Linked DNA regions of Arabidopsis thaliana. The protein of the gene in region 1 interacts with the protein of each later gene in a biochemical or structural test. Each region holds a gene or a part of one and is shown on either strand. Other genes may lie near its edges.

Region 1 (4,708 bases):
TTCAGAGGAGAGAATTTCCCATAAGTGGTGGTTTTTCAATCTTTTATACTAGGTAATCTCATGTCCCATAAGATGTTTTATTAAAGCAGTGCATGCGACAACCAATCAGCCAAATAAGAAATGTGTGAAAAAAATAAAAATTGGGAACATAAAGATTGAAACCTCAAGAACTGGTAGATACGGAAAGTCCTTCAGAGTTGTTATCTTGTTCTTACTTGCTGCTAGTACCTGAGAAAAAAAAATTTATAAGATCTCTAAAAAACTATGACTTGTAACAAGGTACTGAAAACAACCTCAATTCTGAAACAGAAAATCTACCTGAAGCCGGGGCTGGCTTGCCATTGCAAGTGACTTTAATTTATTTTGAGCAACCGAGAGAAACTACCATGGGAACAAGAAAGGTGATAGTTGGAAAAAGTAAGGGGCAATCCACAAGTATGTAAGTATGAAGACTTGATAGCAATTATTTGGCACAAAATTGGAACAAGAGGCTTTGTAATTTCTGATGCTCACCTCTAAGTTTGGAAGTTGAGGCAGACTAGCAAGTGAAGTTATCTGATTTCCAGCAAGATAAAGTTGCTGCCCAAGTAATATAAGATTTAAATGTTCATCAGATAGCACTCATGAAGGAAGAACCAAGGATAGAATGGGAGAGAAAGAAACCTGCAGCATTTTGCAATTCTCAAGTGGTTCAAATCCAGGCCCTTTGAAATCATTAAAACTCAAATCCAGAACCTGAGATTAATGATAGTAACAGAATCATAGCTAGTGTGAGCATATATATCTATTAAAAACCAAGAACCCCAGGAAAATGAATTTACTGACCTTGACTCGATTCAATATCTCAATACCTTCCAGCGTAGATAGGAGATTGTCTCTAAGATAGACAAACTGGAAAGAGTAGAAGTAGAGGAAATTAAAATAAGTTGAATACTCGCATAAATGAGGCGGCATATTTAGTGTCCAAAAGATTGTATTTGTCGTTCGGAGATTTTTAAAACTAGCAGCAGGAACTCACTAAGAAGATTCAAAGTTTTTCCTCGTGAGATGTAAATAACTAATCCTCCCTACTTCTATTCAAATCCACAATTGGCATATATGTACATAAACATCATTGTCACAAAGCATTGCACTAGAACACTGTGAAGTTACTATGGAAATATAAGTTTACCTCTAAGTTTGGTGATAAGTGTAAGCCACCAGAGGTTAGACTGCGAATCCTGTGGCCTCTAAGATCCAATCTCTTAAGCAATTACAGACATCCATTAATCAACAACCACAGAAAGGATTGAACCTATTGTATGAAAATCTAGCAAGTACAAAGAGAAAGTGAATTTGTACCATGTCATCGCCAGCTTTAACCTCCACCTTTGGAAGAATAATGAGTCGTGAATCACGGCTTTCAGGGGTAGATGTTTTCTTCCGTCCAGAGAAGTTGGAAGTCCGGTCTAGAGGTGACGAAAATGACTTTGATCTTATACTGCTAGAAACAGAAGGTGATGATCCCGCAGAGGGAGAAGAAACTTTAGAAACTGTCCTCCCACTTGTGAGAGTAGAGTGTAGTCTTCCACTACTAGTCCTGCTGCCACTACTGTCAACTGATGAAGATGGAGCTCTTTTCGAAGACACAGAAACACTCATGGCTGGTCTAGCAGAAGACTCAGGCTTACTTAAACTAAACCCAGTTGACTTTGTCAAACTCCGACTACCTGGTGATACGGGGACAGACTTTTTACTCTCGGAAAGGCTTGGTTTGGATACAGTCTTAGCAGAAAGAGAAGACACAGAGCTCTTCCTCAATTCTGGAAGTGATCGTCTTACCGGATCAGTACGTGAGGCAGTAGTACTCACTTGCTTAGGCAGAACCTTAGAGGTACCAGCTAAATTCTCTGTTACTCCTCCAGTACTATTTCTCCTGATAGTCACAGGCGTAGTACCCGAGACCCGTAATGAAGAAGACGCAGTTGGCTTTATTAAATTCGAACTAATAACTGGTTTCTTTTTAGTAGAAGCAGCTCGATTTGACACCACAGACACTGCAGAAACACTCTCTGGGCTTCTGCTTTCATTAGCTATAGTTGCATTGTCCTCTTTCACTGCATCTACATTGGTTTCCACAGTTTCTTCCTCAACCTTAGCTGCTACTTCCTCCATAGTGAAATCAATCCAAACTTATGCAGATACAAAAGAAACTCAAATCAGAAGAGACGCATGATCAAATCATTAACAAAAAAAAGGAAACTTTATTCATTATACACAATCTCTCTACTTTATTTGTTGTATCCAAATTTCTCCGAAGTAAAAATACAGAATCAAATGACCAAGTGGCCCACGCACATTGTTTGGAATGGAACGCGCATGTAACAATTACTCTACTTTATTGGGTCCGGTCATAACAGGATTTACTAATAAAAAAAGTACGGACTTTAGTAGATTGTCTAAATTCAAGAACACAGACAAACAGAGTTTCTGGCTTCTTTCAGCTAACACTGTCGGTTACCTTCTACGATTTTTTGGTCCTTTTGTGAACAACCAATCCGCATTAAGCAGTGTTTATTTTTGAAAAAAATGTGAAATTCTTGTGAGTGAAACAAGCAGACGAAATTGCAGAAAGTGAGAGTTTTTAGCAATGAAGAAATTCGGGGAAAATAAAGTTTCTTCATTTAAGGAAATAAACCAATAGTAAGACAGGACAAGGAAAATAAATACTTACTGCACTGAACAATGAAGTAACCAGTAAAATCAAAAACCCATTTTCACCGTTTCACAATAACTCCGGTGGCGAGAATCCCGGCGACGATTCCGGCCGTTGAGAACTTGTTAAACAGAGCAATAGAGGCTGAAACAGAGAAATGTAGATCTGGATGAAGCAGAGAATAAAAAACGCAGCTCACTGATTGAAGCTTTTTTGAATGGAATCGAACAAAAGTGAAAACGACGATTAAAAATTGAGGGAAAATAGCTGGAGAGAGAGATGTTGGCGAAAGAAAAAGAAAAAAAAGTAAGGAACAGTGTAAACAGTGTGTAGCGGAAGAGTGTGTTGTGTAATATGTTTAACCCAAAATATACACCCCTATATTATACTTTAATTTATGTTTTTCACCCTCTTATTTTTTAAAGTTCCATGCAAGTACCTTACATTTAAAATTATCATGCGATGTCGGAAACTCAATTTTGTTTCTAAGTTTACCCGGTGAAAATGATAAAACGGTTATAAAAGTATGAGACAGTTGTGGATAATTATAGTAGTATAGGGACTATAATGAAAAGTAATTATCCAGAAGAAAAGAGAGGAACATTATAAAAAGAGAATAAATTAGAGAATTTGATGGTGAGAGAGAAAAGTTTGAAAATTTAGAGAATTTTAAATTGGCGGAAACCGTAAAGGCAGAGTTAAATGGCAAGTGGACGTTTTTCGAAAACTGATGAAATTGTTTTTATTTATTTAACCAACGATAAAATGATGTGCTCAAAAAGTCAAGAAAACAGATTCCTTTTTAAAAAAATTTAAATTTTTTGTGTTCTACTTATCCTAAATTATTACTCATAAAAATCTTCAATTAATTTTAAAATAAGCTCCACCTAAGAATCAATTAATGTCACTATCTTTTATAAGTAATCAAAATAATTGCATCCGCCATTCCTTCTACCCAATAATTATTAGTATAACCCACTAAATATTATTATCCCCTACCTATAATTTTGGTACCTTGTTTTAATCAATGAAAAGAATCGAAAAACAAAAATATGTATAGCCAGAGTGGAACATAAATGAAAGTTTGAAAAAAATCACATTTGTTGATGATGATAATCTTTTTAACTAAAGTATCCCAATGAAAGCTTCATATCTTAATTCTTGAACATTATTCATAATTCATCATCATCATCATCTTTTCTTCAAGTAGCTTCAACACAAGTCTATTGCCCAACTACTATCTATAGTTTAAGCATACGTATTTATGTTTCTTCGGTTCAATTGCACAAAACCGAATTTGGTTCGGATTCAATTCTATTATTTCGGTATTCCTACAGGTTATTTCGGTTGGATTCGGTTATTCATTCACACGGTGAGGATAATACTATCCAGATGAAGGATAGGAATGATCTGAACGCCAAACAAAGACAATTAGTGATCAGCGAATCGCCGCCTTTTTGAGTCGTCTTGCAGCAAAGTAGATTCCGCGGCAAATCACAGAACACCAATCGGAATAATCACACAAGAACAAAACTTGTTAATCAGGAGAAGACGACAGAGAGAGAGAAGGAGAGAGATCTTCCATGGCGGATTCGGAAGCAGATAAGCCACTGAGAAAAATCTCAGCCGCTTTCAAAAAACTAGCAATCATCGTGAATTCACCGAATCCGGAAGTTCCTGTAACGCAATTCTCTCACGCTTGCTCTCTGGTCTCGCCTCTCTTTGGTTGCCTTGGAATAGCTTTTAAGTTTGCGGAAATGGACTATGTTGCCAAGGTTTGTTTATGTAGTAGATTTGAATCAAAGTCCGAATCTTTTTCTAGTTGTGTTCACTTTCATGTACTATTGAGTATATTGTGAGATGTTGGAATTGATTTAGTTTCTGTAGTACTCAGACTGAATTTTGCTAATTTGATGGAAATGGATGTTGTGTTTGTTTATCTGGAGGATGAATGTTTTGGAAAATGAAATGTTAAAACTTGTGAATGTGACTATAGGTTGATGATCTTGTGAG
Region 2 (7,988 bases), on another chromosome or scaffold:
CACGGTAATCTTTCCTTAAACATGTCCATGGATGACAAATAGGTCGCTCCAAAATATGCTCATATCTTTCGACTTTCTCCAAGGTTTTTGCCATGCCTGAGACAGCTCTGGGGCTCTTTCCAGATGTAGGCGCCTCCTACTTCTTGTCAAGGCTCCCTGGTTTTTTTGGTAACAGAAGCTATATTTCCTTTTTTTGCATCTTCTTAAAGCCACCAAAGTTTGAAAATGCTTTCTTGTCTTTTTTGTTCAGGGGAGTATGTTGGCCTCACAGGAGCTAGATTAGATGGTGCTGAAATGCTTGCTTGTGGCCTTGCAACTCATTTTGTGCCTTCAACGGTATGAACTTCCTTTGCGTGCGTCTATTTCGTAAGACATTCTGAATTGACTTTACACATCAGATATTGTATAGCTACTAGTGTCAAGCACTATCTGCTTCACCAAGGATTGCTACTTAGTTAGGTTTACTCCTTTCCACAGAGGTTGACTGCATTAGAAGCAGATCTTTGCAGAATTAATTCAAATGATCCAACTTTTGCCTCAACAATTCTCGATGCATACACCCAGCATCCGCGCCTGAAACAGCAGAGTGCTTACCGCAGGCAAGTCTATATGATTTTTATCTCTTTTACTCTTTCTACTAGTATGGTTTTACCTGATTACATTTTCTCGGTTATTGACCATGATTATAACACATTTTTTCTATAATTTCAATTTCGTATTGCTGTCAGGTTTTCAATCGCTCTTTACAGAACTCATTTCTCATCTGATCTTTAATTGAAAATTTATAAAAGTGCAGAGGACAGTTATTTTTTATCTCCCCGTTTGTTGCGCAGGTTAGATGTTATTGATAGGTGTTTCTCAAGGAGAACAGTCGAAGAAATTATATCTGCACTTGTAAGCTTTTCATTTATATATAGAGATGTTGACTTGCGATCCTGAGTTGACTGATTTACCTTTGACAACGCACTCTACCATCATATGTGTTGCTTAGGAGAGAGAGGCCACTCAAGAAGCAGATGGTTGGATCTCAGCTACCATTCAAGCATTGAAGAAGGGTTCACCAGCAAGCCTTAAAATCTCTCTTAGATCGGTTAGTTCCCAGAATGTGCATCACAGGCAATGTTGACAAAGAGCTGACTGTGAGTATATATTTCAGATAAGGGAAGGGCGATTGCAGGGGGTGGGGCAGTGTCTTATCCGCGAGTATAGAATGGTGTGTCATGTGATGAAGGGAGAAATCAGCAAAGATTTTGTGGAGGTTTTGCAAGCTTTTTCCATCTGAAACCGTCTTTGTTGTAGACCGTAGTTACAACAGCGTGTCTTTACTTATGCAGGGGTGCAGAGCCATATTGGTAGACAAAGATAAGAACCCAAAGGTTTAACAAGTCTCTCCATTTGTTATTTGTGGTTGGTAATATGTGACATTGTTGATAACAATATCTGAAATTATAGTGGGAGCCAAGGCGACTGGAGGACATGAAGGATAGCATGGTGGAGCAGTACTTCGAGAGAGTGGAACGGGAGGATGATCTAAAGCTTCCGCCAAGGAATAACTTGCCTGCTTTAGGGATCGCAAAGCTGTGAAGTGGAGAAGGTGATGGAGCACTATTGTTTACGTCTGTGGGAAAGAAAAAAGAAAATAAATGTAACAACACTTGTGTTGAATAGGACTTGCATACATTACATAAATCATTATTGTATTTGAGAATTGACACCAAAGCAGCAGAGCAGAATTGTGTTAAGATTTGTTAATGGTGTTGGAGGCACAACCATGGCAAACGGACGTGGAAGCACGTCTATAGTCATTGTTCATTTATTTGATTGAGATTCCTCCTTGGTCTCATCTTCTGAAAACGAAAAATAATTAGAAAATCAGGTGAATCGTGAAGTATTGAATGAGAAGAGGCAATTAAAAATCTCCCGTGACTCTCGTCTCCCCATCTCTCTCTCTCCCTCTGCCCAAATTTCTGGGGCAAATTTGTTCATCAGATCTACTACAATCTCTCTTTTTCTTCGGGTATGGAGGGCCAACGAGGCAGTAATTCTTCGTTGAGCTCTGGCAATGGCACCGAAGTCGCCACCGACGTTTCTTCTTGCTTCTATGTTCCCAATCCCTCTGGAACCGATTTCGATGCCGAGTCGTCTTCTCTTCCTCCTCTGTAAGTCTTCTTTGAATTTTTAAAAACATTCACTCTCTTGCTGCTGTCTCTGTTGATCCTTCTTCTTTGAAAATTTGAAAACATTCTTAGTCTCTCGCTCTGTCACAGCTCCCCAGCTCCTCAAGTGGCATTGTCAATTCCTGCGGAGCTTGCCGCCGCCATTCCCCTCATCGATCGCTTCCAGGTTGAAGCTTTTCTGCGGCTAATGCAGAAACAAATCCAGTCTGCTGGGAAGCGTGGCTTCTTCTATTCCAAAAAGTCCTCTGGCTCCAATGTCCGCGAGCGCTTCACATTTGAGGATATGCTTTGCTTTCAAAAGGTTTTTCTTTCCCCCCCTTTCTTCCCCATTGACAATCCATTGACTGAATATGTCTCTCTCCCCTTCCTTCCTTCAGGATCCAATCCCCACATCTCTCCTCAAGATTAACAGCGATCTCGTCAGCCGTGCTACCAAGTTGTTTCATCTCATCTTAAAATATATGGGTGTTGATTCATCTGATCGATCTACGCCTCCCAGTTTAGATGAACGCATTGACCTCGTTGGAAAGCTCTTCAAAAAAACTTTGAAGCGTGTTGAACTCAGGGACGAACTTTTTGCCCAAATCTCCAAACAGACTAGACATAATCCTGACAGGCAATACTTGATCAAAGCTTGGGAATTGATGTACTTATGTGCCTCCTCTATGCCTCCTAGCAAAGATATCGGTGGATATCTATCTGAGTATATTCATAATGTCGCACACGATGCAACTATTGAACCGGATGCTCAGGTTCTTGCTGTTAACACTTTGAAAGCTTTAAAGCGCTCTATCAAAGCTGGTCCTAGGCACACCACACCTGGTCGTGAAGAAATTGAAGCCCTTTTGACCGGTAGAAAGCTCACAACCATTGTCTTCTTTCTCGATGAAACTTTTGAAGAAATTTCATATGACATGGCTACCACAGTGTCTGATGCTGTTGAGGTATCTTCTTGCTTTCTTTTTTCATAATTTACCGCTGATCATATTCTTGTCCCTTTTTCTCTCACTGCATTGACATCTGTTTCAGGAGCTAGCTGGAACAATTAAACTATCAGCTTTCTCTAGCTTTAGTTTGTTTGAATGTCGTAAAGTTGTTTCAAGTTCTAAATCATCTGATCCCGGAAATGGTATGCTTTCATATGACTGGCTTCGTCATATATTGTGAAGTAATACAACATTATCGATCATTTTTCTATCTGTGCACTTGCAGAGGAATATATAGGATTGGATGATAACAAGTATATTGGAGATCTCCTCGCAGAATTTAAAGCTATTAAAGATCGAAATAAAGGAGAGATACTACACTGCAAACTGGTATTTAAAAAAAAATTATTCCGAGAGTCTGATGAAGCTGTAACAGATCTGATGTTTGTGCAACTTTCGTATGTTCAAGTGAGCATTTTCTTCATTGGTGACATTTATTTCCACACAAAAGGCTTGCCTTTCGTTGCTGACACACATATATGCAGCTGCAACATGACTATTTGCTAGGAAACTATCCTGTTGGGAGGGACGATGCTGCACAGCTTTGTGCCTTGCAAATTCTTGTTGGGATTGGGTTTGTCAATAGTCCAGAGTCATGCATGTTAGTTTTCTTAAGCTCCGCCATTGACTTTATTTTAGTTGTCCGATACTTTATTTTTCCAATTTTCCTCCCTTAACAATATCATTTCCTTTCTCAATGTATCACATATCAGTGATTGGACATCACTTCTTGAGCGGTTTTTGCCAAGACAAATAGCAATAACCCGAGCAAAGCGTGAATGGGAATTGGATATCCTTGCTCGCTACCGTTCAATGGTAGGAATAGTTCTATGCATTTTGATTGTCTTCCCCTTTCTAGATACCTTTGGCAAATAAAAACCCATTGAAGTGATGGCATGGTAAAATGATATTTCGTATGTGTATGTGGGCATGTAGGAGAACGTGACCAAAGATGATGCAAGACAACAATTTCTACGGATACTGAAGGCACTGCCATACGGGAATTCAGTTTTTTTTAGCGTACGCAAGATAGATGATCCGATCGGTCTTTTACCTGGGCGAATCATTTTGGGTATCAACAAACGTGGGGTTAGTCTCAATATAAATGTTATACATTATGACTTTAAAAAAACTGTTATTGTTGTTTGGAATTCAAATCTATGTTGTTGGATTTGAATTTGTTGTTTGCTTTCTTGTAGGTTCACTTTTTTCGACCGGTTCCTAAAGAATATCTGCACTCTGCTGAACTACGTGACATCATGCAATTTGGCAGCAGTAACACTGCTGTCTTTTTCAAAATGAGAGTCGCTGGTGTTCTTCACATATTTCAGTTCGAGACAAAACAGGTTTAAACATCACTATTTGTGGATCATTATATTATGAAGCAATTCCTTATGAGATATTCAATTTGGGTAACTTGTATGTTTGTAGGGAGAAGAAATTTGTGTTGCTTTGCAAACACATATAAATGATGTCATGTTGCGTCGTTACTCCAAAGCTCGATCTGCTGCCAATAGCTTGGTTAATGGAGATATATCTTGTAGTTCTAAGCCGCAAAATTTTGAAGTGTATGAAAAACGTTTGCAAGATTTGTCTAAGGCTTATGAAGAGTCCCAAAAGAAGATTGAGAAGGTACACATTCTAACAAATTTCTTATTTATTCTTCAATGTAAAATTGAATATAATAGAGGGAGGCTGATCTTTGTTTAAATACATGAAATAACTTATTGTAGTTGGATTTTTTCATGGTTTTTATGCTTGGTAGTCTTGAGATATTTCAGTATATATCACCCTCCTATCTTATGTTATTGTATGTAGAATGTTATACCATGACCTCTTTTGTTTTAGAGTGGCATGCTGATGAACTATTCGTATGTTTTATGTTGTTGTATAGTTGATGGATGAACAACAAGAGAAAAATCAGCAAGAAGTTACTCTGCGTGAAGAGTTAGAAGCTATACACAATGGTTTGGAGCTTGAAAGGAGAAAATTGTTGGAGGTTACTTTAGACCGAGATAAACTTAGGTCATTGTGTGACGAGAAGGGAACAACTATTCAAGTTAGTTATAACCTAACTTTTGTCTTTCTTTTGATGCTTGGTTGAAGTTATTTAATGATTTATTCTATATATGCTATAGTCCTTGATGTCTGAACTGCGAGGAATGGAAGCAAGGTTGGCAAAGTCGGGCAACACAAAATCAAGTAAAGAGACAAAATCAGAATTAGCCGAAATGAATAATCAGGTGAATATTATGTGTTTAAATCTAATTCATTGTAATCATTGAGTTGTTGTTTTTTGTTTCCAATTCTGCTTTCCTTTGACAATGAATTTTAAGTCACAGATATTATACAAGATCCAAAAGGAGTTAGAAGTTCGAAATAAGGAATTGCATGTCGCAGTTGATAATTCAAAGAGGTTGTTGAGTGAAAACAAGATATTGGAGCAAAATCTCAATATTGAAAAGAAGAAAAAAGAGGAGGTGAATTCTATGTATTAGATTTATTGAAGATTTCAAATTGAGAAGTATCAAATACTTGCGTATTGTTGACATCTCATTATTTCAGGTTGAAATTCATCAAAAGAGATATGAACAAGAAAAAAAGGTGTTAAAGCTTCGAGTTTCTGAACTTGAAAATAAGCTTGAAGTACTTGCTCAAGACTTGGATAGTGCTGAGTCTACGATTGAAAGTAAGAATTCTGACATGCTGCTGTTGCAAAATAACTTGAAAGAACTTGAGGAGTTAAGAGAAATGAAAGAGGTAATGGTACTCTTTTGTCTTCTTCATTATTTAATTTTGTTTCTGTTTGAATGATGATAATGTATTTTCGCGATTCAAAATTGAAGTAGAGGGATGTGTTTACATTCCAATTTCATTTTCTTAGGACATTGACAGAAAAAATGAGCAAACAGCTGCCATTTTGAAAATGCAAGGAGCCCAACTTGCTGAGCTAGAAATACTTTATAAGGAAGAACAAGTTTTAAGGAAAAGATACTATAATACCATAGAAGGTAACATAATGCTCAAGTATGTACAATGATGTTCATTGCTTTTAAAAAAGAATTTTACTAACATTTTTATTTGATTGTAGATATGAAAGGGAAGATTAGAGTTTATTGTCGAATAAGACCTCTAAATGAAAAAGAGAGTTCAGAGAGGGAAAAACAAATGCTGACAACTGTGGATGAGTTTACTGTTGAACATCCATGGAAAGACGACAAAAGAAAGCAACACATATATGATCGCGTATTTGACATGCGTGCTAGTCAAGATGATATCTTTGAAGACACAAAGGTATTATTGATATGTAACTGTGTTCATTTACCTTTCATCCTTTGTTATTTTCTTGTGGTTACTAACATCGTTTTCCTTTTAACAGTATTTGGTACAGTCGGCTGTAGATGGGTATAACGTTTGCATCTTTGCATATGGTCAAACTGGTTCTGGAAAAACTTTCACTATATATGGGCATGAGAGCAATCCTGGACTCACACCTCGAGCTACAAAGGAACTGTTCAACATATTAAAGCGAGATAGCAAGAGATTTTCATTTTCTCTAAAGGTAATTTGTTATCCTAATAGATGATGTGATAAAAGATTATGACATCAACTGACTACAAAAAGTTATGCAGGCATATATGGTGGAACTTTATCAAGACACACTTGTAGACCTTTTGTTACCAAAAAGTGCAAGACGCTTGAAACTAGAGATTAAAAAAGATTCAAAGGTATTGTGAGATATATCTATTTTAACTAGGTTATAACTAGATTGTAGACACGTAAGTTTGATCTTATGCATAAAATATTTTCTCAGGGAATGGTCTTTGTAGAGAATGTGACAACTATTCCTATATCAACTTTGGAGGAACTGCGAATGATTCTTGAACGGGGATCGGAACGACGACATGTTTCTGGAACAAATATGAATGAAGAAAGCTCAAGATCTCACCTCATATTATCAGTTGTTATTGAAAGTATTGATCTTCAAACCCAGTCTGCTGCGAGGGGCAAGGTGACAAAATTCACTATGTTTTTCTTTATTGACTCATTATCATTTTTCACAGGATTTAGTAGCATTTAGGGATTTTAAGGAAATAGGAGTTTCTTTAGATTTTCATGCTTAGTCTACCGAAGAAAAATATAGTAACATTAATCTTGTTTAAGAGAGATATTATTTTACAGCTCAAATCTTTGGTCTGGTACAAAATGTTAAACCTTTATGTACACAATCCATATTATTAGTCAATGATATGCCCTCCATTGTTAAACCCATATCACCTGATCATGGTGGTATCTTCTACAATATTCTGAATTTTTGTTTGTTATTTGCAGCTGAGTTTTGTGGATCTTGCTGGTTCTGAGAGAGTTAAAAAGTCGGGCTCAGCTGGTTGTCAACTCAAAGAAGCTCAAAGTATCAACAAATCACTTTCTGCATTAGGTGATGTTATTGGTGCTTTATCTTCTGGCAACCAGCATATTCCTTATAGGAATCACAAGCTAACGATGTTGATGAGCGATTCATTGGGCGGCAATGCCAAGACGTTAATGTTTGTTAATGTGTCTCCAGCCGAATCAAATTTGGACGAGACGTACAATTCTCTTCTGTAAGTCATGAGTTCCCATATATATATAACATAAATCAAATATGCTTAGTGTAAAAATGGATAATCCATATTGTTTTTTTTCCTCCTTTGATTCCAGATATGCATCGAGAGTGAGAACGATCGTGAATGATCCCAGCAAACATATATCATCCAAAGAGATGGTGCGATTGAAGAAGTTGGTAGCATACTGGAAAGAGCAAGCCGGTAAAAAAGGTGAGGAA

What was found.
Region 2: the proteins of AIR9 (region 1) and ZWI form a complex in vitro, tested with the Arabidopsis thaliana proteins (one study listed by BioGRID).

What each region holds. Positions count from the first base shown.
Region 1 is NC_003071.7:14,626,147-14,630,854, forward strand, and holds the start of AIR9 (Outer arm dynein light chain 1 protein), read right to left. Parts: upstream 3,038-4,708; 5' UTR 2,664-3,037; coding exon 2,501-2,663; intron 2,172-2,500; coding exon 1,342-2,171; intron 1,244-1,341; coding exon 1,172-1,243; intron 892-1,171; coding exon 826-891; intron 736-825; coding exon 664-735; intron 580-663; coding exon 514-579; intron 382-513; coding exon 319-381; intron 229-318; coding exon 163-228; intron 1-162. Other genes in the region: ACD11 (Glycolipid transfer protein (GLTP) family protein), read left to right, coding at 4,279-4,470, 4,692-4,708. UniProt on the Arabidopsis thaliana protein: Microtubule-associated protein that may be involved in the maturation of cell plates and proper insertion of cross-walls after cytokinesis.
Region 2 is NC_003076.8:26,370,426-26,378,413, reverse strand, and holds the start of ZWI (kinesin-like calmodulin-binding protein (ZWICHEL)), read left to right. Parts: upstream 1-1,966; 5' UTR 1,967-2,019; coding exon 2,020-2,159; intron 2,160-2,249; coding exon 2,250-2,478; intron 2,479-2,554; coding exon 2,555-3,121; intron 3,122-3,206; coding exon 3,207-3,306; intron 3,307-3,389; coding exon 3,390-3,571; intron 3,572-3,648; coding exon 3,649-3,764; intron 3,765-3,876; coding exon 3,877-3,979; intron 3,980-4,099; coding exon 4,100-4,252; intron 4,253-4,362; coding exon 4,363-4,509; intron 4,510-4,594; coding exon 4,595-4,795; intron 4,796-5,057; coding exon 5,058-5,222; intron 5,223-5,301; coding exon 5,302-5,406; intron 5,407-5,505; coding exon 5,506-5,643; intron 5,644-5,728; coding exon 5,729-5,923; intron 5,924-6,047; coding exon 6,048-6,174; intron 6,175-6,254; coding exon 6,255-6,457; intron 6,458-6,542; coding exon 6,543-6,725; intron 6,726-6,795; coding exon 6,796-6,891; intron 6,892-6,977; coding exon 6,978-7,175; intron 7,176-7,495; and 3 more. Other genes in the region: CHY1 (beta-hydroxyisobutyryl-CoA hydrolase 1), read left to right, coding at 1-4, 84-168, 251-336, 478-599, 834-894, 992-1,090, 1,157-1,258, 1,335-1,376 and 1 more. UniProt on the Arabidopsis thaliana protein: Minus-end microtubule-dependent motor protein involved in the regulation of cell division and trichome morphogenesis through microtubules bundling. Possesses basal and microtubule-stimulated ATPase activities.